3 linked regions of the Rhinolophus ferrumequinum genome follow. The protein of the gene in region 2 interacts with the protein of the main gene of each other region in a pairwise test. Links are inferred from orthologs where the notes say so. Each region holds a gene or a part of one and is shown on either strand. Other genes may lie near its edges.

The links. The genes of interacting proteins can lie anywhere in the genome.
Region 1: the proteins of TLE5 (region 2) and SMARCB1 interact in binary tests that used the Homo sapiens proteins (3 or more experiments, as listed by UniProt). The link is inferred for Rhinolophus ferrumequinum from reciprocal best matches to the Homo sapiens genes TLE5 and SMARCB1.
Region 3: the proteins of TLE5 (region 2) and CCNK interact in binary tests that used the Homo sapiens proteins (3 or more experiments, as listed by UniProt). The two-hybrid records come from large-scale screens. The link is inferred for Rhinolophus ferrumequinum from reciprocal best matches to the Homo sapiens genes TLE5 and CCNK.

Annotation. Positions count from the first base shown.
Region 1 is NC_046308.1:22,690,468-22,697,956, reverse strand, and holds the start of SMARCB1 (SWI/SNF-related matrix-associated actin-dependent regulator of chromatin subfamily B member 1), read left to right. Parts: upstream 1-4,485; 5' UTR 4,486-4,689; coding exon 4,690-4,782; intron 4,783-7,489. Other genes in the region: MMP11 (stromelysin-3), read left to right, coding at 58-299, 424-640, 1,298-1,555, 2,506-2,639.
Region 2 is NC_046301.1:60,175,240-60,183,186, reverse strand, and holds the start of TLE5 (TLE family member 5), read right to left. Parts: upstream 3,001-7,947; 5' UTR 2,871-3,000; coding exon 2,844-2,870; intron 1,782-2,843; coding exon 1,684-1,781; intron 1-1,683. UniProt on the Homo sapiens protein: Transcriptional corepressor. Acts as a dominant repressor towards other family members. Inhibits NF-kappa-B-regulated gene expression. May be required for the initiation and maintenance of the differentiated state.
Region 3 is NC_046289.1:4,748,243-4,755,621, reverse strand, and holds the start of CCNK (cyclin-K), read left to right. Parts: upstream 1-4,375; 5' UTR 4,376-4,490; intron 4,491-4,507; exon of another isoform or gene 4,508-4,736; intron 4,737-7,379. UniProt on the Homo sapiens protein: Regulatory subunit of cyclin-dependent kinases that mediates activation of target kinases.

The DNA of each region.
Region 1 (7,489 bases), on a different chromosome or scaffold from region 2:
GCTTGGGTGTTTTGCTGCAGGAGGCTCAGGGATTGCTGGGCTGTCTCCCTTTTCCAGGTACAGACCTCCTGCAGGTGGCAGCCCATGAATTTGGCCATGCGCTCGGGCTACAGCACACCACGGCTGCAAAGGCCCTTATGTCTCCTTTCTACACCTTCCGCTACCCGCCAAGCCTCAGCCCAGATGACCGAAGGGGCATTCAGCACCTATATGGCCGGCCCCGGCCGGCCCCCTCTTCTAAGCCCCCAGCCCTGGACCCCCAGGCTGGAGTGGACACCAACGAGATTGCACCACTGGAGGTGAGGCACAGGAGGGTGGGAAGACAGGAGGTGAGGCCCTGCCCCAGCTACCCCCACCTGACTGGCCTCTGTGGCTCCAATGTGGGCTCTTTCCCGGCCCTCTCCCCCACCTCCCCTGCCCCAGCCGGAAGCCCCACCAGATGCCTGCGAGATCTCCTTTGATGCGGTCTCCACCATCCGTGGGGAGCTCTTCTTCTTCAAGGCGGGCTTTGTGTGGCGGCTACGCGGGGGCCGGCTGCAGCCTGGCTACCCTGCGCTGGCCTCTCGCCACTGGCAGGGACTCCCCAGCCCCGTTGATGCAGCCTTCGAGGATGCCCAGGGCCACATCTGGTTCTTCAAGGGTGAGTGGGGGCAGGGGGTCATGCTCAGATTTCCAGGAGCCTGGAATGTCATGGCCAGGGGTAGGGACAGACAGACAAATATAGGCAGGTAGAGGGTGCCCTGAAAGCTTGGGGCCACGGGAGAACAAGGCTCATTCCTCTGGGCACAGCTGGGAGACTTCTGAAGGCAATGGCTCTCAAGGTGGGAGTAGAATAGAAAGTACTGCACAGTGGGTCACACATTGGCCTCCAGCTCAGGTGGTGAAGTGACTCACCTGAGGGTATAACTTGAAAAAGGCAGAGCAGGGATTTGATCTAGGTCTGGCGACTGTAAAGCCTGTGCTGTTAACTTACAACTGCATTAGGGAGCATTCCAGGTGGCAGGGACTTCATAAACAAGGGTCCACCTAAGACCTGTGGCAGGGACCAGGGCTGAGCCCCAGGGGGTGGTGAGCAGTCAAATGCCCGGGGAAGGAGTGGGAGCCCAGGTGCCTCTCTGCTGCTGAGAATTACCTTTCTACGTGGTACCTTCCAGAGCCTGTACTGCCCCAGCTTATCCCTGTTGGCTCCAACTTCCCCTGGGGTGGGGGCGCCAAGCAGGATAAGGAAACTGAGGCTGGGAAAGTCCTGGTGGTGGTGGCAGCTGGGCAGGGCCATTGCAGCCTCCCCTCTCCACAGGCGCTCAGTACTGGGTGTACGATGGTGAGAAGCCAGTCCTGGGGCCCGCCTCCCTCTCTGAGCTGGGCCTGCCAGGGTCCCCGGTCCACGCAGCCTTGGTCTGGGGCCCTGAGAAGAACAAGATCTACTTCTTCCGAGGCGGAGACTACTGGCGCTTCCACCCCAGCACCCGCCGTGTGGACAGCCCCGTGCCCCGCCGGGCAACCGATTGGCGAGGGGTACCCCCTGAGATTGACGCCGCCTTCCAGGATGCTGACGGTGCGTTGGTGATAGGGCAGCTGGTGGAAGGGGTGTAGCAGGTGCGTCTTCCTCCCTGTGGTGGCTGGATGTCAGCTCTTCGTCACAGGGCCTTTGTCCAGCCCCCTCCCCATCCAGCCTCCTCCTTGTACCAGCGCTCGGTTATACCTTCCATGTTGTAGATGAGGAGCTTGAGGCCCAGACAGGAGCAAGGACTTGCCCAGGCCCCAGCCATGGCTGGTAAAATAATAACCACTGCACACACGACTGACAATGCTCCCGGCACCTAAGCTCCCTACCTGTCTCATGCAATTCTCTGACGTAGCACCTGTTAGGAACCCAGTTTGCAGAAGAGCAAACAGATTCAGGTGATGAGGTCCCTAGCCAGGGCCACCCAAGTGGATAGTGGGTAACCAGGAACCCCCACCCAGGCAGTCCCTGCTGAGCTGTCCAGCCTCCTATAATCTCCAAGGACTAGACTGGGGACTCATAGTCCATTGCCCTCACCTGTGCCCCCTTCCCCCTTTGCTTCTGTGCTTTCCCACACTGGGACCTGCTGGGAAAGCTGTCCTGTGGTGGTCTCAGGCTCTGGGGCTCCAGGTTGCCTCTATCACCCTCCATAACTCAAGATACCCATCGGTATCTGGCTGGTGGGTGTGGGAATAAAGTGAGGTAGAGGGAGGGGTGAAGAGGGAAACAGGACTTGCCTTCCTGAGATGTTGGAATTGGACGTCTGAGGCTCTCAGCAGCTGTCAGGCTGGGTCGTAGCCTAGTCCAGACTCTGGGCAGGACTCCCCCAAGGGAATGGAGCTTCTGGAAGGGCCGTCCTAAGGCCTGCAGGTTTCAAGGAACTCAGTGGTGGCCAAGCCTGCCCACCCGGACCTCCCCGTGCCCATCCCTAGGCATAGCCTGGTGAGCAGGTGAGAGGCCCGGTGTCCACTCACCCAGGCCTGACCCTCTTCTCTCCTCAGGTTACGCCTACTTCCTGCGTGGCCTCCTCTACTGGAAGTTTGACCCAGTGAAGGTGAAGGCCCTGGAGGGCTTTCCCCGCCTCGTGGGCCCCGACTTCTTTGGCTGTACAGAGCCTGCCAACACTTTCCACTAACCACTGCTTGGATGCCCTCAGGGCCCCTCACCCCTGCCAGGCCACTGACGTTGCCTAGAGACCCATGGCCATCTTTGTGGCTGTGAGCACCAGGCATAGGACAGAGCCTGTGGCTCCTCAGGGGGGTGGGGAGGGGTGGCTCCCACCATGACAAGTGCAGGAAGGGCCACGCAGGTCGTGGTCACCTGCCAGCAACTGTCTCAGACTGAGCAGGGAGGCTTTGGCATCAAGGGTGAGGGTGGTCTTGGACCGGTTCCACCCTACCTGTGCAGGTCACGGTCAAACCCGGCTGCCTTCGCTCTCCATCTTCGTCCCTCAGGAAAGGACCTCAGCAGGGCTGAGGGAGCTGGAGCCCTTGCTCTGTCCCTGATATGAGGTCCCTGCAGGGTGCTGGCACATGGATCCCGGGGCCACGTAGCCTTCTGCCCTTCCCTGAGAAGTCATTTCTGGGTAGGTGCTTGGAACTGGCTGCCTTCAGTTGGTGATCCTGGAGATCTGTTCCCCAAGATCCAGGCCAGAAGGTCTAGAGTCATCTGGGGACAGGGGTGCTCACTGCTGGAGACCCAGGGCCCTGGAGGCCCCAACATACCTCAATCCTGTCATGGGCCGAATCCTCTCCAGCCTTCATCCCAGCACTGAGACCCTCCAAAGCCATGTAAATGTGTGTACAGTGTGTACAAAGCATTTTCTTTCTTTTTTTTTTTTACGGAGAACTGTCATTAAACAGTCATTTTCTACCTGCCTGCCTGGGGTGTCTCTGTGATTGTGAGTCTAGGATGGGAGCTGTACCAGGGAAGTGGGAGACCCGGCTTGGGACCTGTTCTGTCCTCGGAACCAGGGTGGCAGTCCACCCCACCCCCAAGTCTCTGGTCTTTGGCGCTGGGTACTCTGTGTAGGGCCCCTCCTGCCCCATTCCTCCATCTCGTCTGTCTAGATGCGTGTAGTGCCTTCGTACTTGGTTCCCTGCTTCCCCGGCTTGCCCCTCAGATCATCCTCCCCTAAGCAGTGGTCACTTTATCTGATCTTCCAGGCCCAGCCCCTATCCCGTTGTCGTCAGGATACAGAACAAAACTCATGTTTACAACAGCTGACGCTTCCTAACAAGTGTCTCCTTGCCTGCCACCCAGCCCGGTGTATCTCCTTTACAGCTGCAATTTTTATTCGAAATTTATATGAAATCGGCAGCTGTGGGCCGGTTTTGACCTACTGCATTGTTCAACGGGAAACGTGGATGCTTTGATGCTTTCATTAATGTCATTCCCCACTCCCACAGGGCAGGGCTCTCTAGTTGCACTGCAGGGCTCGGCTTGTTGTCCGTACAAAGTGCAGAGTTAAGGACGGAATGGAGAAGGTTCCCTCCCTTCCAACACTCATCTGACGCACCAGCCAAACCAAATACCACCCAGATTGGAATCCTGCCAAGCCGTGTAGTCTTGGCCCATGCTAACACCGCCCTGTGTTGTCGTTCTGCCCATTCCTACAGCTGCAGGAACAGCTGCGGGCCGAGAATTGGGATATCTAGGAGTCCTCTTATCTGCTCAACTGCACCGTTTTTTCAGGGTGGGGAAACTGAGGCACACCTACTACTGGCCTCCTCACACCCTGCAGAGCTCACTTTGTTCCTCTTCCATTGCGTTGAGTTCCAGTCCTAGCTGTAGGACTGGGAACGCCAACGCCTGAGTCAGGGCCTCGATTGCTATTTCCACCTGAGAAGTCTTCCTTGGTACCGAGACTTGGGAGGAAGCCTGGGAGGAAGAGAAACGGATTTAGGCTCCTTTAAGGGACCCACGGGAGCGCGCCTTGGCCTTTTGTTTGGGTGGCGGTAGCGCGCGCGTCGGCGTCAACGCCCGCGCATGCGCACAGAGGGAGGCCTGGTCGTCGTCGCTGCGGCTGCTGAGGAGCCCGGCGGCGGCCGCGGCGGCGCGAGTACTTGGCCCGGACCGCCCTTTGCTTCCCGACTTCGGCTCCCTCGACTTGGCACGCCCCAGCGCCGCCTCAGCCCTCCCGATCCCTCGCAGCCCGGCTTTGGCTGCCTGCCTCCACCGCCGCAATGATGATGATGGCGCTGAGCAAGACCTTCGGGCAGAAGCCCGTCAAGTTCCAGCTAGAGGACGACGGCGAGTTCTACATGATCGGCTCTGAGGTAGCCCGCGGCGCGTCCTCGCCCTCCCGGGCCCCGGCCCCGCGGGAGCCTCAGGGCAGGTCTGCGCGTCGGGAACGCGCGTCTCCATTCATCGCGGCGAGGGGGTGCGCGCGCACGCGCGACGGGATGTGGCTTAGCAGGGCGTGGCCGGCAGGCCCCGCCCCGCGCTCCTCTGCGATTCTGGGTTTACTTAGCCATTTTGTGGTGGTGGGAACGTACCCTGTCGCCAGAACTAGGGCTCCCCGAGGGGCTGCTGGTTTCGTGCTGAGTTGGTACAACTCCAGACAGACGCAGACAAACTGGGTGTTACGGTTAGCCCCTGCGAAACACCCCGTTGGGGGTGATAATGTTGGAAATATCACGTGCGCCCCTCCCCCATTGCTACATCTGGGATCCTGAAATCGCCGGTTGTAAACATGGGGCTTAGTGAGGGCTCATCCTCATTGTGTTCGTTGCCTTTGAGGTGGGCAGGAGGTGTTTTGATCTTTGTTTACCAGGGAGGAAATAGGTTGGGAGGAGAATATTTGCTTTTGGGTGGATAAGGCCATCCTATTTCATTTGGGTGGATAAGGCCCCAGGTCCTGAGCTAGCTCTCAACAATTCAGAAGCAATTGACACTGTGGATATCTTGGACTAACTGAATTATTACAGGAGAAAGAGCCTAAAGATTTTTAATCCTGAACTAGAACTGATAGCACTTTGTTGAATCAGCTGGACCACTGACAGGAGGAAAACTTTTCAATGGTAGTTTGTACTAAGTATATTAAGTTTTTGCAGATTGCCTCAAACTAGCCCCTTTGGGTCTAAAGGCCATCCCCAGGTAGTGTATACTCCTTTTTTTTTTTTTTAATTATGGATATATAACTCAGATGTGCATATACCAAGCAGTAGAGTCTCTCATGTAATGAGGTAAGTGCTAATCTTGGAGAGCTAAATAAGTCCCAAAATGCCAAGCGCTGCCTTTCCCTGTAGTACTTTAAAGTATCAGACACCAACATTTCATTCCTGATTTTACAATTTTTGTTGTTTTTCTTCACAGCTGATCATAGCGTGAATGAATTACGCCTCATGATGGTCACACTGAGGCAATCACCCTGTGATTCCTGGCCAGTTATATCAAATTATGAGGCCAACATTGTCAGCATCAGAACTTGAGTGTTACCATTTTTCACCAATTTTTATTAAACAAAAAGGGCAGGATGCAATAATTTTTTCACATTATCCCGTAAATGCTGCTCTTCAAAGATAGCCATGCTGGGGAAGTGGAGTCAGTGCGTGTCTATCTGCCGTGGCTCAGAATGGTCCTCATCAGCCTAAGTGCAGGATATAGAAGACAGCTGAGTTTTAGTACGTGATAATGGGCAGATCGTTTAAATAAATCTTTACCTGGTCTAATGGGCAAGAAAAGCAATCAATTTGGTTTCGATTCTGAGTATGTGGTACCTCTGAAAAGCAAGCTTTCATTTATTAGGTGGAGCAAATTGAGAAGAAGCATGCAGCCAGGTGGGAAGAAGTCAGGAGGCCTGGTTCCAGCTCTGTTCTGCCTCCTTGTCACTTTTCTCATGTGTATAATGAGATGCTTAGACTAGATGACCTCTGAGATTTTCTCTGTAACACATTTTAGCTTCTAGAAAGTTATCTGCAGTCTTCTCTTTCAGCCCTGTTGAGTGAGACCATTGTCCTGCGACCGAGCCAGTAGAGACCTAGATGGGAGAAGGGAGAGGAGGTTTGCTTTCTGGAGCTTGGCTTAACAATTGTCAGACTTTTGGAGGTCTGGGAAAGGTTCAAGATCAGAATGCTGTCTATTGATGTCCAGTCGTTCCTGTGATAGCATTGGGTGCACGGCCCCCAGGCCCCTTCCCTTTGGGCAACAGGCCACTCAGAGAGGTGGGCCAGCCATAGCATCACACCCAGTGCCGTGGAGTGGCTTTGGGAAGACATCCGCAGTTGCAGTAAGTGTGTGTGACTGTTCTCCCGCCATCTGCAGGTAGCTGCATTCACCAAGCCAGAGTCATAGACCTGAGAGGACCTAGGGTATCCCCAAGTCCAACCTTCATTTCAGGCAAAAACTGGTTCAGGGAAAACCCAGGAAGGCAAACCCTGGTCTCCTCTATTCTGAAGGGGCCTTGGGAAGGCTCTAGGAGTCCCGGAGCTCCCCAGGACCTTCAAGGTAGTAGTGGGGGACACTATTGTTAATGTCTTTTCAAAACCTAATGGAAACTATACGTTTACCCTTGGATGGTAATGACACTCAAGCCAAATAACCGACAGGGGTCTGTGCCTTCTGTGTGGAGCACGATTGACTGGCTATGGTCACCTCTCACGCTGTTCAGCAGCTCTGGTTGTCGATCATGGAAATCTTTGATTCATGAAAAATGGAGAAATATTTTTATTAAATAAGTATACTATGTTGCGTAGGTAAATGGGACAATAATAGAAGTGGTCCTTTGTGTGGTCAACTTCAAAGTTGCTGTGCATTTGACAGATGAGTAAGGAGAGCCAGACTGGGGAAGTGATTCCTGGTCACAGGTGGAGACATCACCTGGCACCCAGTCAACTGGCTGTCTCCTGCCCTGTGATTCACATGGTCATTTTGGAAAAGTCAGTGAGACAATGAGGTTTCTTTATAAAAAACTTTAGGACGAGATTTTTTTTCTTTCCATTAAGGAAGTCATACTTTGAGTATTTGGTTCAAGCAAACTGAAGC
Region 2 (7,947 bases):
GGGTTCAAAGTTCAGCCCTGCTACTTTGATGCTGTGTGGTTCTGAGCAAACCCTTCTACCCCTCTTGGCCTTGGTCTCCGTGCCTGTTAAGTACCAACCTCCTATACCAACCTCCCGGGGTCAGGTGATGAGGATGAAATGAATTAAGACCAGAAATCCTCTCTGAATACCGCCTGGCGTATAGTAAGCACCCAATAAATTCTTGTTGCTCTCTTGGTCACCCCAGGAACCTGGTGTTTCACTCTGCTAGACTGACCATAACTGTACACCCCAGTTCACAGATGAGTCACAGCTGGGGTTGACGTGACCCCTTGAGTTTTTTTCTCTAATTTTTAAAAAATGTGCATTTGTTGCCACCATTAGAAAGAACAGACAAGGAATTTCATCCCAAACTCTGGCTTTCTGGCCTTTTTTGAGGGTCTGGCAGATCCTGTGTGCCAACATGGTAGGACTCTTCGTTGTAGAGTAGGAAGCCCAGGCCCAGTGGATGGAGACCCCAAAGCTCGGGGGGGGGAGGGGGCTGGCCTACCCGAGGACACACAGCACTGTAACAACACTCTCACCAATGATCAGGGATTGGCAGCCCCAGTGCTCACTGTGAAGTGGGCATGGACCAGGCATGGAGGGGAGGACCCACTGCAGGGGCTCAGAAAGGCCAGCTCTGCCAGGCAAAGCCCCTAACCCTCCACATCACAGGACCAGAACAAAGTTCCTGGGCCTGCCCTTCCACCATCAGCGTCTCTGTCTCATCTTTGAAATGGGCACAATAATAAGACAGCAAGGAAGATTAAACCAAAAGATGTTCAGTATTTAACACTTGGGGAGCATGGGAAGTACCCCAAGAGGTTGGATGGTAAAAAAAAAAAAGAAAAGAAAGAATATACATCCGTACTCCCCTTTTCTTCTTGAAGAAAATCCAAGATCTTTTTACGTGGGTAAACTGAGGTTCAGAGACAGCCCAAGACCTCCCTGAAATTGGTGGGCAGGGACCCCTACTGATCCCCTCCATAGCAGGGCCTTTGAGAATTTGCATTCTTCAACTCAGAAACTGGGTGCAAATCTCAGGTCTGCTGCCACTTCCTTGCTGTGCATCCCCTAGGAATCCCTAAGCTCTCTGGGCTTAGTTTCTCCAAGGATAAGACGTAGGTAATAACAGTTTGTTCCCCTTAGATCAGGGCACATGGCAAGCCCTTTGGAAATGTTAAATTCTGGAACAACCATGCTTGAGATAGTTGGACCAGGAACCCTTTCCCCAGAACTGGGCAGAGAGGGCTAACAGGCTGCAGAACTTTGTCTTTGGGGCAATTTTTTTCGATTATTTTTAATTTTGGTAGGTATGGGGATCTATCCCCCAAATCCAGTTGTTGGGAGGTTTTTAATCATGTGGGGCTTGGGGTGGGGGTGGGAAGCGGCCCTCTGAAGCCATACAGCTGAGCCTTTAGGCATATCATTTAATTTTTTGCCTCCTTTTTCTCCTGTGAAATTGGCTGTTTGGAAGACTAAACGATTTTAATACCGATAAAGTGCTCAGGACAGTGCCTGCCATACAATTTGCACTACGAAAATACATATATTTTTTCAAGTACTCATATACAAAGCAGGGGCCGCCACCTCCACCCTTCTAGCCAACTGCGCAGGGGGCTCCACCTTCTCCCGGGGTACAGACCCCTGACCCCAGCTCACCTGTGGTACTGAGCCTGCAGCAGCTGAAACTCGTCTTTGATGCGGTCGCAGGAGTCCGAGGTGGTGAATTTCAGTTGCTGGGGTAGGTGCGAAGAGCCCTGCGAGGAGGGGGCGTCCCGGGTCAGGGCTGGGCCGCCGGGTCGGCCGTTCACTTCCCTCTTGGGCGCCGGGAGGCAGCGGCCAGGGCAGCGGCAGCGCCCCCCCGACACTGCCCCATTTCCCGGGCCCCTGTTTACAGCCCCTGGCGCGGCCCCCGCCCTCGCTTCCTGCCCCCGCCTCTCCCGGGGAAGTGGAGGGGGTGGGTGCGCCTGGAGCCGCTCCGTCCCCCGCCACCCCCAGGCTGTGGGGGTGCGTTTCAAGGCCCGCCCTTGGTGGGGGGCAGGGTGCGCCCTCTACCGCCGCTCCAATGCTCCGGTGGGGGTGCACATCGGAGCGCCCCAAGTGCCTCGGGGAGGGGACAACGTGTCCTAGGGAGTCCCCGTCCCCAAGTGGGGGGTAGCGAGGTCTCTCTGCAAAGTCCTTTAAGAGAGGGCCCTCTCAGCGCCCGAAATTTTCCGTGGGGGCTCCATCCCAGATTCCCAGTACCCTCCCAACAGGCCGCTCTCTTCCGGGAGAGATGCACCTCGGATCAACCCCCACTCCCAGGCCCCGAAAGCAGCCCCGGCGTTAGAGGTGCCTGGTGGGGCTCCCGGGGAGCCCCAGGCCCGAGGCCAAGGCTGCCCAGGCCCAGCCTGGCTTGGTGGGGGGCGGGCCGCAGGGCCCAGGGACTGGGGGAGTCGGGCCGGGAGCTGGAGAGGACCCCGCCTGAAGCTTGGGGGAGTCCGGGCCGGGAGCTGGAGGGGGACAAGGAGCTACAGTGGGAGGGAAGACCAGCGCTGGGCCCAGAGCTGGAGGGGACCGGGCCCTGGAGTTGGGGGGAGGTGCCGAGCAAGGAGGGACCTGGGGGGGGGGACGCATGGCAGGGCTCGGATCTGGGGGGAGGATGGCCCGGCGGGGAACTGGGGGGCGCAGGGCTCGGACCCGGAGTGGGGGTGCCAGGTGCGGATCTGGGGGGCCGCAGGGCCGAAAGCGGATGGGGGGAAATGGCCCGGCCAGGAGCTGGGGCACGCGCAGGGCCCAGACCTGGGGGGGGGGGACGCCGGGCCGCGGTCCCCGCTTACCGAATGCCTGCTTTGTGGAAACATCATGTCAGTCGCCGCGGGGGGCGCGGGCTGCGCCCCGGCTGTGCGCCCCGGCTCGGGCGGCTCGGGGCGCCGGGCGGTCGCGCCTTTGTCCCGGCGCCGATCGGCAGCTCCCGGGGCTGCTGCCGCCGCCTCCCGCGCCCGGCCTCACCCGCTTCCTGCGCCCCCTCCCTGCGCGCCCGGCCCCGGCGCGCCCCGGGCCCCGCTTCCTGCGCGCCCGGCGCCCCTCCCCGCCCCTCCCGCCGCCCGCCTCCCCGCACGCCCGGCCGCCGCTCCTATTGTCTAATGGCGGCAACGCCGGCAGTGGCTGCGGCCTCGGCTGCGCGGAAGCTCCGGCTCCACCTGCTGCTGCTGCCGCTGCCGCTGCAGCCTGGGCCCCGTGCGCGCCGCCGAGGGGGGGGCGCGCGCCCGGGGAGGCCTGCGGATCCCCACCCAGCCCGCCTCCCGCGGGCCGCCGGCGCGGTGACCTTGGGCCCGGCGCGCCCCCGCCCGGGGCTTCAGCCCCCGCCTGGCGCGCCGGGACGCCGCCCCTCCGGGCTGGGTGGCCCTAGCGGCCGCCTGGGCCTCGGTTTCCCTATCTGTCAAAGAAAGGGGCCTGGCGGCCCCCATCTAAACCGCCGGCACTGTCATGGCGCGACCTGGACGCGTGCCAGGGACATGCTCTGTAACCTTGGCTCTCTGGCTGTGCTCTCTGAGCCTTGGTTTCCTCTTCTGCAGAACAGCGGGGGTCATACAGCTGGCCTCCTGGGAGCCATTCCTCCAAAACACATTATTGAGCGCCTACTGTGTGCCAGGCCCTGCTCCAGGATGTGGGTGTGGGTTGGGGATGTACAAAGTATCCACCCTGGTGGAGACGACTTGAGACAGGCGAGAGACAAATACTCAAGCCCAAACTCTGGCAGGTCAGAGGGTAGTAGCAGCTATGGAGAAAATAGACCAGGGGGAGGACCAGGAAGGTGCCATTTTAAACAGAGATGGTGTCAGAGAGGGCCTCCTTGCCTGCAAAGAGGACCTGAAGGTGACAGAGGGAGCCAACAGAGGTATGGGGTATGGTGGCTTATTCAAGGAGGCAGGAACAGCAAATGCAAAGGCCTGGAGGCAGCCCCATTTTTTCCTCGGAGGAGCCTGGGAGGAAATGAGGGCAGGGAGGCAGGGCCAGCAGCTTCCAGCATTCAAACGGGCCCTGCTCCCAGAAGAGCCTGTGCTTGGGTTCCTGATCTACAGTTGTGGTCTGGAAATTCCTAATTATTTTTGATCAAGGGGGCCTCAAAGTTTCGGTTTGCATTGGGACTGCAAATTCTGTAGATGGTGCAGGGCCTTGTGGGCCACAGGGAGGACTTGAGATTTTACCCAGCCGTGGTGGGAGCCACAGAGGGCTGTAGGCAGGGGAGGGGCTGGACCGGACTCAGATTTTGATAGATTCTCTCTCGCTGCCATGTGGAGTTCAGGCCTCAAGGAAGCTGTTGAAATCATGCACATTAACCCCTGGCAAGTGTTACATACACAGCCTCTTAATTCTCATGTCATCAACACCAGCTCTGCAGCCCTCTCCAGATGAATAACTGTTTGGAGCCTTAGGTTTTCCCATCTATAAAATGGGAAGTTAGGACCCTGGTCACTTTTCCCGGGCAGATGAGGGGCCAGGACGAGGGTGAGATGAAGAAACAAAATTTAAAGACCCCCCTCACCCTAAAAACAAAACAAAATTAAAAATATCCTTCAAGATAAATAATACTTTAAAGCACTATTTTTATAAATAAAAACTGATGCCAAAAAAATTCACGGTGATGGAAGGAGACTAGACTTCAAGTGGTGAGCACACATAGAGTGTCCAGATAGCGGATTATAATGTTGTACACCTGAAATTTATATAATGTTATTAACCAATGTTACTCCAATAAATTTAATAAAAAGTAAAAATGCATAATGAGCAAAATGTCAGCCTTTTAAATAAAGACAGGATCCAATGAGCTGGAGATGAGTTAACCAAAATGCAGGGCCTTTCTAGTCCTGACGCTGTAAGAGAAAAGGAGCAAAGTTTGGAAAGCTCTTCAATATTCCTGTAGAGTTGTGGAATGCGCAGGCCCCACAAATCACACGAGAGTCCCCAATTGGGACAGGCTACAGAATTTTCAGGGCTTAGGGCAAAATGAAAATGCATTGCCTCTTGTTCAAAAATGATTAGGAATTTCAATATGGTGGCAACAGAGCGTTAAACCAAGCTCAGGGTCCTTCCTTGGAGAGCATGGGGTCCGCTATGAGTGCATGAGTCACCTGCCCATGAAGTTGGCCCTGCCCCCAACATCCCCCCACACACACACCACGGGGACCAGACACCCATTCTCCTGGGAGGCCACCTGCGTCTGACTCTCACCTGGGCAGGCACTCGGTGACCAAAAACTCCTGTGTTAACAGACCCCAGAGCTGGACACACATACCCCCAGCACAGTGGGGTCAGGACTAGGCCACAGTGGGGGACTCAGGGCTTTGCCTTTGAAGGAGAGTAATCGGGAAAAAGTAATTTTCAGGAAAATTACTGAAATTTTGGCATGTGGCAAAGCCCAGAAGTGTGACCCAACCTATGAATAAAGTAAATTAACCCACCTGTATATGTGTTTACTATGTGCCAGGCCCTACCTTAAGCATTTTAACCCTAGGTACTGCCATTATGACATTTAAAGATGGAGAAATCAAGGCACTGGGAAGTTTAGTGACTTGCCCAAAATCACACAGCTGGTAGGTGGCAGAGCTAGGATGTGAACCCAGGTACTTGGGCGCTTGACCAGTATGCGTTACTGCCCCTCCGGATGGGGCTTGAGGTGGGTATGGGGGATACTGGCTGGAGAGGGCTTGGGGGCCAGCATGCTACAGGGCCTGCTTTCTGGATGAGGAGATAGGATTTTACCTGGAGGGCACTGGGGAGCCAGGGGAGGTTTTAGAGGAGGATTTCTGTCTTCACTCTTTACATGCTGGCTTGCATCGTTCTCTGGAGTGGGACCGTCCTGGGCACAGTGGGGTGTTGAATAGCATCCCTGGCCTTACCCACTCCATGCCAGGAGCACCTCCCACCCAGTCCTGAGAAGCAGAATTGCTGAGTGTCCCAGGCGGTGGGGGTGGGCAAAACTCCCCCCAGTTGAGAAGCCCTGGTTTAGAGCAACAGAGAGAGACTGCCAGGGCCGGGGATAGAAGGTGTTGCTGGTAGTAGCAATGGGGGAAGGCAAGGCGGGAGGCCCGTAGATCAGGGGGATGCCCAAGCTGAGCTCCAGGAGACGGGCAGGCTAGGCTGGGCCACTGCGCGGGAGCTTTTGGGGATGGCTGGGTGGAAAGAACAGAACGTGGCAGGAAGGGAAAGGCAGGGCGGAGCACTGCAGCTCCGGAGGGAACAGTCTGCATTATGTCATTAATTTGGGGGGAATTGGGGCTTTCCAAGATCTTACTCTCTGGGTAGCTGCCATTCCACACCCCTCAGCCCCCACTCATCCCCAACTCCTTGGGTCCACATCCTGGTCTTGCCTTTCCCTGGGGTTCTCAGGGCCACATCTGAGGCCAAATTGAGGCGGGGATCTGTCTCATGTCAGCAACCGGCTGAGACCAGCCTCGCAGCCAGCTTACAAATGAGCACTGGGCCCCGTGGCCTCCCGGCAGAGCCAGTCGCTGGCTGGCGCGTGATGGATGGGGCTGCGTGGCCATTAATCACAGGCAGGGGAGGAAACAGGTGGCCGCAGTGTGGGCACGGGGACTCCCTCTGATAGGCCTGTCGGAGCCAGGACCTCAGCTGTCCAGCTCTTGGGTCAGCCCCTGGTCTGTTATAATCTGTCTGGGTGAGCTGGGGCCGTGTGATTTTACCACTCTGGGTCCCCCCCCACACTCCCAAATGGAGCTATTATCCATTCATTCCCTCAGTAAATATTTATTGCACCTACTGTGTGCCAAGCATGATTCTGAGTGGAGACTGACAGCCGTGACTAGGGAGGACCAATATCCCTCCATTTGCTGAGCTGACAAGCTTTTAAAACCTGACTCAGATCCTGCCCCTCTTCTGCCCACAGCCCTCCAGGGCTCCCACCTCCCTGGGATAAAAGCCCAAGTCCTCCCCGCGAGGCCCTCCCTGACTTAGCCCCGTCTTCTACCTACCCTTACCTCGGCCCTCTCTCCCCCTCGCTCACTCTGCTTCAGCCACGCTGGCTTCCGCACTTTTCCTCCAACAGGCCATGCCTTATCCTGCCCCAGGGCCCTTGCACAAGCTGTGCTCTTTGTCTTGCAATGTCTTTCTCTAGATATCACCTTACTTCCTCCAGCTCAGATGTCACCTTCTCAGAAAGGCGGCCATGGACCTACCTAAAATAGCCCACACCCTTGTCAGTCACCCTTCTCTATTTTTCTTTATAATAATATCTGTCTTTGTATTTCCATTTATGTGCTTATTATCCCCGCTGGTGTCAGCTCCACAAGGCAGGGATTTACTCTTTTTCATTCCCTGCACAGCGTTTGTCACACAGTAGGTACTCAATGAGTCTTGGTTGATATAAAAATCATCTTTGTCAGGATTAGGCTGCCCAGGAAAAGCAGGATGTGGCTGAGTCACTTCGGGCTGCTGTAACCAAACACCACAGACCAGGTGGATTCTAAACAATAAACATTTATTTCCCACAGCTCTGGAGGCTGGGAAGTCCAAGATCAAGGTGTCAGCTGATTCGGTTTCTAGTGAGACCTCTCTTCCTGGCTTGTAGACGGCTGCCTTCTCGCTGTCCTCTGTGGTCTTTCCACAGTGAGTGCCCGTGGAGAGATTTCTCTCTCTCTTCTTATAAGGACAGCAGTGCCATCAGATCAGGGCCCCACCCCTATGACCTCACGTAACCTTTACCTCCTAAGGTCCCGTATCCAGATACAATCACATTGAGGGTTAGGTCTTCAACACAGAGATTGGTGGGGACACAGTTCAGTCCCTAGCACAGCTCTACTGCTATCTGCTCTTTCAGCCGGATGCAGTTTCCTGGGAAATGACTGACTAGTGCTGCCTATTCTGCCCGTAGTGTTTTTCCCTGGCCACTCAGGAAGGGACAAGGAGGGCAGGCTCCTGGCT
Region 3 (7,379 bases), on a different chromosome or scaffold from region 2:
CAACTAACAAGTATGTTTCAACATTAAGCCTTACTTTCTCTTAACTGTGCTTAACAGAAAACTACTGAGATTGAAGTCATGCCTCACTGAGCTTGAAACCTTAAAACCACTTAAGTCACAGAATTTTTTGAGACCTTTTATGTTCTAATGAATTGTATCCTAAAAAGATGGAAAGTGAAATGCAGGCTCGTAGATAGGTAATAAGCCTAAAATAGTGCATATTTATTAAACGTTCTATGTAGACACCTCATTATCTACATACTCTAGACAATTCTTTCATCTTTCTGAAAAACGCTGACAGAATTTCTTCCTGCTCAGTCCCTCTGTCCCCCATGACTGAGCCTGGGCATGCGAAACATGACAATCCCACTTTGCTTGGTAAACAGTACCACTCAGATCCCTTTCAAAATCTGAACTCCAGAGTCGGTCTTCTCTTGTATTGTCAGCCAAGAGTGGTTAGACTTATCTTGATTATCAATTAACTTCAACTTGGAAAGTACTTAAGAAAGAATTTCAAAGTTTTAACTTTAGGATATGAATTTTATAATCATTTGGAGTCATTTTTCTTCCAAACTTATTTCAATTGAAAATTGTCAATTTCAGTTGAAAATTGCCTGTGTTTGTACCTCTTGTCTTACCATCTGTTTATTTCCAAAACCTGGAGAAAACTCACCACCTAGAAATGGAGTCTACACAGCTAATCTCTGGCTTGAGTTACTAGGTGAATTAAACAAGAGAAAGCAAGACTTCTAACTTTCCAGTTGTACTAATTAAGCTTTTTAAGACAACTAAGTGACTTGAAAAAAAACCAAAAACCAAGTCTCAACTCCTTTATAATAGAAAAATATAGTGTGCATATTAATAGTGTTAGAAAGTTATTTTTACTTTATGTAAATTTACATTATGTAAATTAATTATATCTGCAGATAAAAACACTTGATTGACATCTCCAACTTTATGAATCGGAAAGTGAGATGATAAAAGGAAATCCAATGTACAGAAGTCAATTTTGCCAAGTAAGGTACACCTGTAAACGCAACAGAAGTGAAAACTAGAAAAATTTAAAAGCAAGGACTCCTTAGTCCTCTTAACTGGCTAAATGTGACTCAGGACGAACAGATAGCCAAGATGAACACTGCTATGACTACAGCAAGAGAAAAAGGTTGCACACAGGACATCAAAACATTGGCCTCAATTAGAATGCTAGCTAATTGAAAAAATAACCGGCCACAAGCAACTTCCAAAATAACATAATAAAGATATATTCACTCTTCTGTTAAAAATGTTTAATGCCATAGTAATAAATGACTGCTCCTCCGCAGGGGAAAGGGGAGGCCCCATTCCCAGGATTTAGGTCCAAGGAGAGGAAACACACTTGAAACTCTTCCTCCCCACGCCCCAACAGAAGCACGATGCACAGTAGCCAGGGGCAGACAAACCAGTTTCTAAAGATAAAAACCCTCCCAGTGAAAGATAGTCATCAAACCACACAAAAAAAGACACACTATTATTAGTTACATTTCTAAAAGCTACTTCAGATTAGTGATAAGAAAAAAGGAGAGTATGTAATTGAAACGTTTTAAGAGACTTGGAAAGCCTCAAACTAAACTGACATCGAATTAAAAACAATGTAGAGTAACCCTGAGCTAGGAGGTAAGATTTTTACTCGTACTGTCACCAAAATTCCACACAGCACAAACTAGGTACCCGGTTTTCATTGAATTCAATAATTACCTACTAAATATTTACTACAAGCAAGCCTCTGTTGTACTAATGTTGATTCTTTCCTCCGGCTGCCATCTCCTTTGTCCTTCTCTTCTAATATGAGAGCATCAAGTTTTAAGGAGTCCATTGTGACCTGTTATCAGAGCTCTCAAAATAAAGACAGTTGAACTTCAGAATGGAAAAAATCTGCAGAAAGGCCTCTAGTTTTCTCATTTTCCAGTGGCCTCTAAAGCAAAGGTTTAATTATCATTTAAAACATGGCTTAAATGTTCACCACAAGGAAGAGAAGCTCAGTAAGTGTTCCTTTCTTATTGACAATCTTACTGCACCCCTATTGACAGAATTGAACAGAAACTTTCATTCCTACCGCACATGCGGGCATAAAAGTTTTAATTATCAACTCCAACATCATTCGTATTCCAGGAAAAAAAGCACTGAGAGATGTTAGCATGCTGGAGGTGAGAAGCAGCAACCGTTTTACTGGTTGAGACTGGAGTTTCATTTCAGATATTAACTCACAAAGTTGAATACACAGAGAGAAAGGAGAGCAGACAGGAAGGGGTAGCAGAAGGCTAAAGCCAAGATTATTCGGGGTCCCAATAAAGAGGTTGTTCTGCAGCTGTTTGAGAATTTGGCGTTACAAACTACTTTCTTGGGCCAGAGAAAAACTCCTTAAATTGCTGGAACTTTACCAAAATATCAATCACAGCAGCCCCTGGGACTCATTTGGTAAGGCAGGACTTGCAGGCACCGTAGCCTCTATAGACACAATACACCATGGTTCAAGCAAGTCTTGCCAAGTTTTAACCGTGGTGAGGAAAGTGTGATTATTTTGCTATATTCTTGAGGTAAATGCATTCCCTTAAAATAGTAAGGAAAACCTCTTAGAGGTTGATGGTTAGGTCAGTTTTGAAATACCAATGGGGTCATTTTTTTAAGAATAAAAATGGGGTAGGGAGAAGTATCATTTACATACGACAAAATTCACACTTTTCAGGGTCCAGGTCTAAGTTTTGACACAGGTGTATAGCTGGGTAACCACCACCATAACCAAACTACTGTCAGGTCCATTGTCAAAAGGTTAACTCTTCCAAGGCTCCTAGTAAAAGCAAAATTAAACTGTCCATATACTTTATAAATTTATTTTTGCTTTTGAAACATCACCGTCTTCATTTGGAAAAGCAAAATACCCTTCAAGTGATCCTAAATGTGTCAACACACCGCGGGCGTGAGGCCCCCCGCAGCAAGTGGCGCCCGACAGTAATCCTCTCCTTTTCCCCAAGTGGCAGTCGGAGAGGCAGAGCTGCGTCGCCAGGCTGGAGCCACGAGGAGAAAGAGTTTAATGCCGGAATGACAAACTCCAAAGCACTGAATTCTTCTCCCTAGTAGGGCACGAAGCGTGTGGAAGATGGCCAGGGCGCGTGGGAAGAAAGATGACCTATTTTCAACGACTGTTTTCATAACTGGAAAGTGAGAGAAGCAGGGGCTAGTCCTCGGGCACCCCGGGGCACCCCGGCGGGCACCTGAGATTTGGAGAGAGGAACATAAAGCCACACACAGCCTTCACCCAAGCAGCGGGGTGACGACGGGAAGAAGGAAGGAAGCGAGAGCGCGAGCCGGCCGCACGCTGAGCCGAGCCTACGAGCGCCAGGGAAAGGGGCCCGGGCCCCACCCGGTGGACGACGAGGGGCCCGGCGCTCCCTGCACCTGCCACCACCTTGGGCGGCGGGCGGAGCGGGGACCGGAGCGTTGGGCTCCAGAAGAACACGCGGGGCAGCGGCGAGTGCGCCCCCGTCCCGGCAGGGCCGGAGGGCAAAGGCCAAGCGGCACCCTCCGACCCCACCGGGTCGCCCATACCCCGCCCTCCCCTCCGGGCCCCAGGGCGCCACCGCCTAGCACACCCCAGGCCCGCAGCGGCCAGCGGAGCGCGGGCCGGACCTCGGCCGAGGGATGCCGGCCAGGGCTGGGGGCAGCCTCTCAGCGCTCGGGAACGACGGCGCGAATCTGGCCCGCGGGCCGCGCGCGCGGAGGGGCCACCGCCAGCACTCACCTGCCCGCTGGTCCCTTCGCGCAGCCGCAGCGGCACCACACTCCGGGCCAGACCCACCGTCTGCTTCAACCAAGCCCCAGGCAGCAGCGGCGGCGGCTGCGGCCGGACGGGAGGGGCGGGACCGCGGCCTGAGACGGCCCGCCGCCGCGGCCCAACCCGGCTCCGCCCGCCCCCGGGCCCCGCCCCCGGGCCGCCGCCGCCGCCGCCGCCCATTGGCCTCCGGCTCATAGGCATGGGCACGGCCCCGCCCCACCGCCCCCCTACCGTTGAGCTCGGGCTCCTCCCCGGCCATTGGGCCAGAGGGCTCCTGGGCCCGAGCGGCCGGCTCGGCCCCCGCCAGCTCAGGGGCTACAATTGGTGGGGCTACGCCACGCCCGGGCGCTGATTGGAGAGTGGGCAGCCCCGGGCCCCACCTCTCGCGTCCAAGTTCCGTTAGCAGGTTCGGTTGCTCCCGAATTTCCTTTGCCCCGGAGGCGGGAACTATGGGAGGGGTCCTCTGTCAGGCTCCTCCTCCTGAGGGGAGGGGCTGAAAGGAGACTGGCTGTTCTTTCCTCCTTTGAGAGCTCTACTTTCTTCTGATTGGTTCACAGGCGACTCCCGTCGCGTGTTTTCCGTCGCCGACGCAGCGCGATGACGTAGTTCCCCGACATCCCACGTCCAAGATGGCCGCAGTCGGCAAGGAGAGACGTAGCTAAGGGGCTTGCCTGAGGCGAGGGTGAGTGACCCACGGACCACTGGTAGCGCCGCCCACCGCCCCCGCCGCGTACCTGGAGGTCGGAGTAGGGCTTGGCCAACTGTCTCCATCCGCTGGCGGAGTCTCTCTTCCTGGATTCCGCCTCCCTCGGCTACCCCCGGTGTAGATCGAAGTTAGCGGGCGATGGCGGGACTGCGGGACGGGCTTCGGGAGAGGGTTTGAGGCGCAAGAGCGGAGGAAGGAGTCCGGCGCGTACCCTAGGAACAGGTAGCGGCTCTCTCAGAGAGGGACGGCTAGAGTTCGGGGACTTTGTAGCAGGTGGTGAGAAGGGGCAGGGGTCTTAACGCGCGCGCACATTCTGCCGCACAACCGCTGCCTACCCACATCTTCCCAACTACTTTGCAGTGTCTCGGTCCCAACCTTGGTTAGACCTGAGACTTTGGGTATTGTTCCACATCTGGCGTACTCCGGCTTTGGCGTCTGAAGAGCCATGTAACAAGGGTGGGACTAGGAATGAGGAAAAGGCACTTCCGCGATTAGATTCGTTTTTACCGAGACATCGTTCTTACCGGCCCTCTTCTGGGTTGGTTCGCTTTGTTACTAAAGGAATTGTTCTTCAGAAAGTTGAGGCGTTAGTATCGAAGTTCTCTGAAGGCTCTTCAGCTATTACCAGCACAAAGCATGGTCGGTAACGCTTCCTAAATTTGGATTGCCAGTTAAATGGAGCTTTCGCGAAATCGTCTGACGTTAGAAACTTCTGAGAGCAGTTAGCTTGCGGGTGGCCTTTTATGTTTTTAAGGTAAGCTCTAAGGCTCCTTAGAGATACTTAGCACAGTGCCTTGCAGTTGTAGGCACTCATTAAAGGTTTATGTGAATGGTATTGCTAGAATGAAAGCTCCGTGAAGTGCCTTTTGTATCCCCAGCACCTAGAGCTGAATGAAGAATGGGTGATTATAGTAGTGGTATTGGTAGACTGATCGATTTTGTTCTTCAGATGCTTTCTTGTTAAATAATCTTGACTATAAATGTAATAATTTTCCAGGATTGTGTTTTGTTTATTTTCCAATGTGACTATCAGAGGTGTCTAATTTTAGGGGGTGTTTTTTGTCTCATTGTGAATGTATTCATTTTTTTCAAACATTGCTTGATTCACGCATAAAGCATGTTTAATATTTGTTTCATTTTGAAAACATAGTTTGCACCAACAAGGAATAAAGAAACATTCTAATTGCTAAGGAGATCCTTAAACTGTAAATGCCATTTGTAAAAATTGAACATCATAAAGAAAAAAATTGATCATATTTTTGGCCTACGAAATGAGCTACAGTCATGCTACCATTTGACCCACATAACGACGTTTCGGTCAAGGATGGACCTAGTGTACAAGTGGTCCCATATATAGTGGAACTGAAAAATTCTTATCACTAGTGACATCGTAGCTATCGTAATGTGGTAGCACAAGGCATTATGGCCTTGTGGTGATGCTGGTGTAAACCTGTGCTGCCCGTTGTATGAAAGTATAGCAAATACAATTCTGTACAGTATAGTACATGATACTTGATAATAAATGACTGTTACTGGTTTATGTGCTTACTAAACTGTACTTTTTATTGCTATTTTAGAGTGTACACTGCTAAAAAAAGTTTGCTGTAAAACAGTATGCTTGTTACGCCATACATCATGTTTACTGCGTCTCTTGGTTCCATCATTTTCTCCATTGCATCCCATATCTTGATTGCATCTTTTCTCTTGTGCTTGATTTCATCTCATTTTGTACCGTAGCTTGCTGTACAGGCTTGTAGCACAGGTACAGTAGTCTATACCATATAGCCTAGGTGTGCAGTAGGCTATACAACCTCGGACTGTATAAGTGCACTCTGTGATGTTCGCACAACAACGAAATCATCTAACGACATATTTCTCAAAGCATATTCCCATCCTTAAGTAGCGTGGGACTGTAGTTCATTTCTGCAGGTTATGTTGGAAAGCAGTGAGTTCACTGAGTATCTAGAAGGTAAAAAAATGTTTTGTTTGTTTTCTCCAAAACTGGGTAAGGACAAACAAATGAAGAAGACTTAAGTTCAGGGTAATTGTGGAGATTGTTAAGAACATTTAATTGGATTAAATCTCATTTGTATATTTAGGCTCAGATAAATTATATGCCAGAGAACTTGCAGATAAGATTGTAAAATCATTGTTTATAGCTTTAGAGGAATCCTAAAAGCATAGTGAATGATAGAAGACTGGAGTCTGGTCAATGTCTCAGTTTTTGCAGAGCAATTAGATGACTGCTGGATGCTAGAACCTGTTATTAATCCATTTTAGAATCTTGTTGGGGGAGCAAAAAGAGCATTTGTGCGTATTTGGGAAAGGAGAGCTGATTCCCTCAAACCAGCAGAGCTCCAGTCCAAAAAAAGCTGGGTGACACAAACCATGTTTCCTTTTGTTATAAATGTACTAGGTTGATAGTGGGTGGGCGCTGAGTTCAGTCAGGTTTCCTTCGGGCATTGAACATAATCTCTCTTCCTATCCCAGCAGACACAGATACACGTACACTGGATGAGGTCTAATTGGATGGATTTATATCCATTCAGACTACCAAACCCAAAATGTTGATTAATGACTTGATGTCAGCCTGAATGAAGAGAGGTCTTTAGAGATAGGCTCCAGGGCTCTAGTCTTGCTCTTACTCTGGTCAGCATTTTTTTTTTTATTACCAACTTTAAATATGTAAGAGGCATGCTTCTCAAAGATAGCCAGCATGTTAGATGACACTCAGGATTCAACGAGTTCTTACAGACTGAAATAGGAGGCCCAGATAAGATACAAATTTACCAAGAATGATTAAATTTACAAAAACGTTGTTGTCCTTGTTTGACATGAGAAAGACCTAACTTGACAAAAAATGGT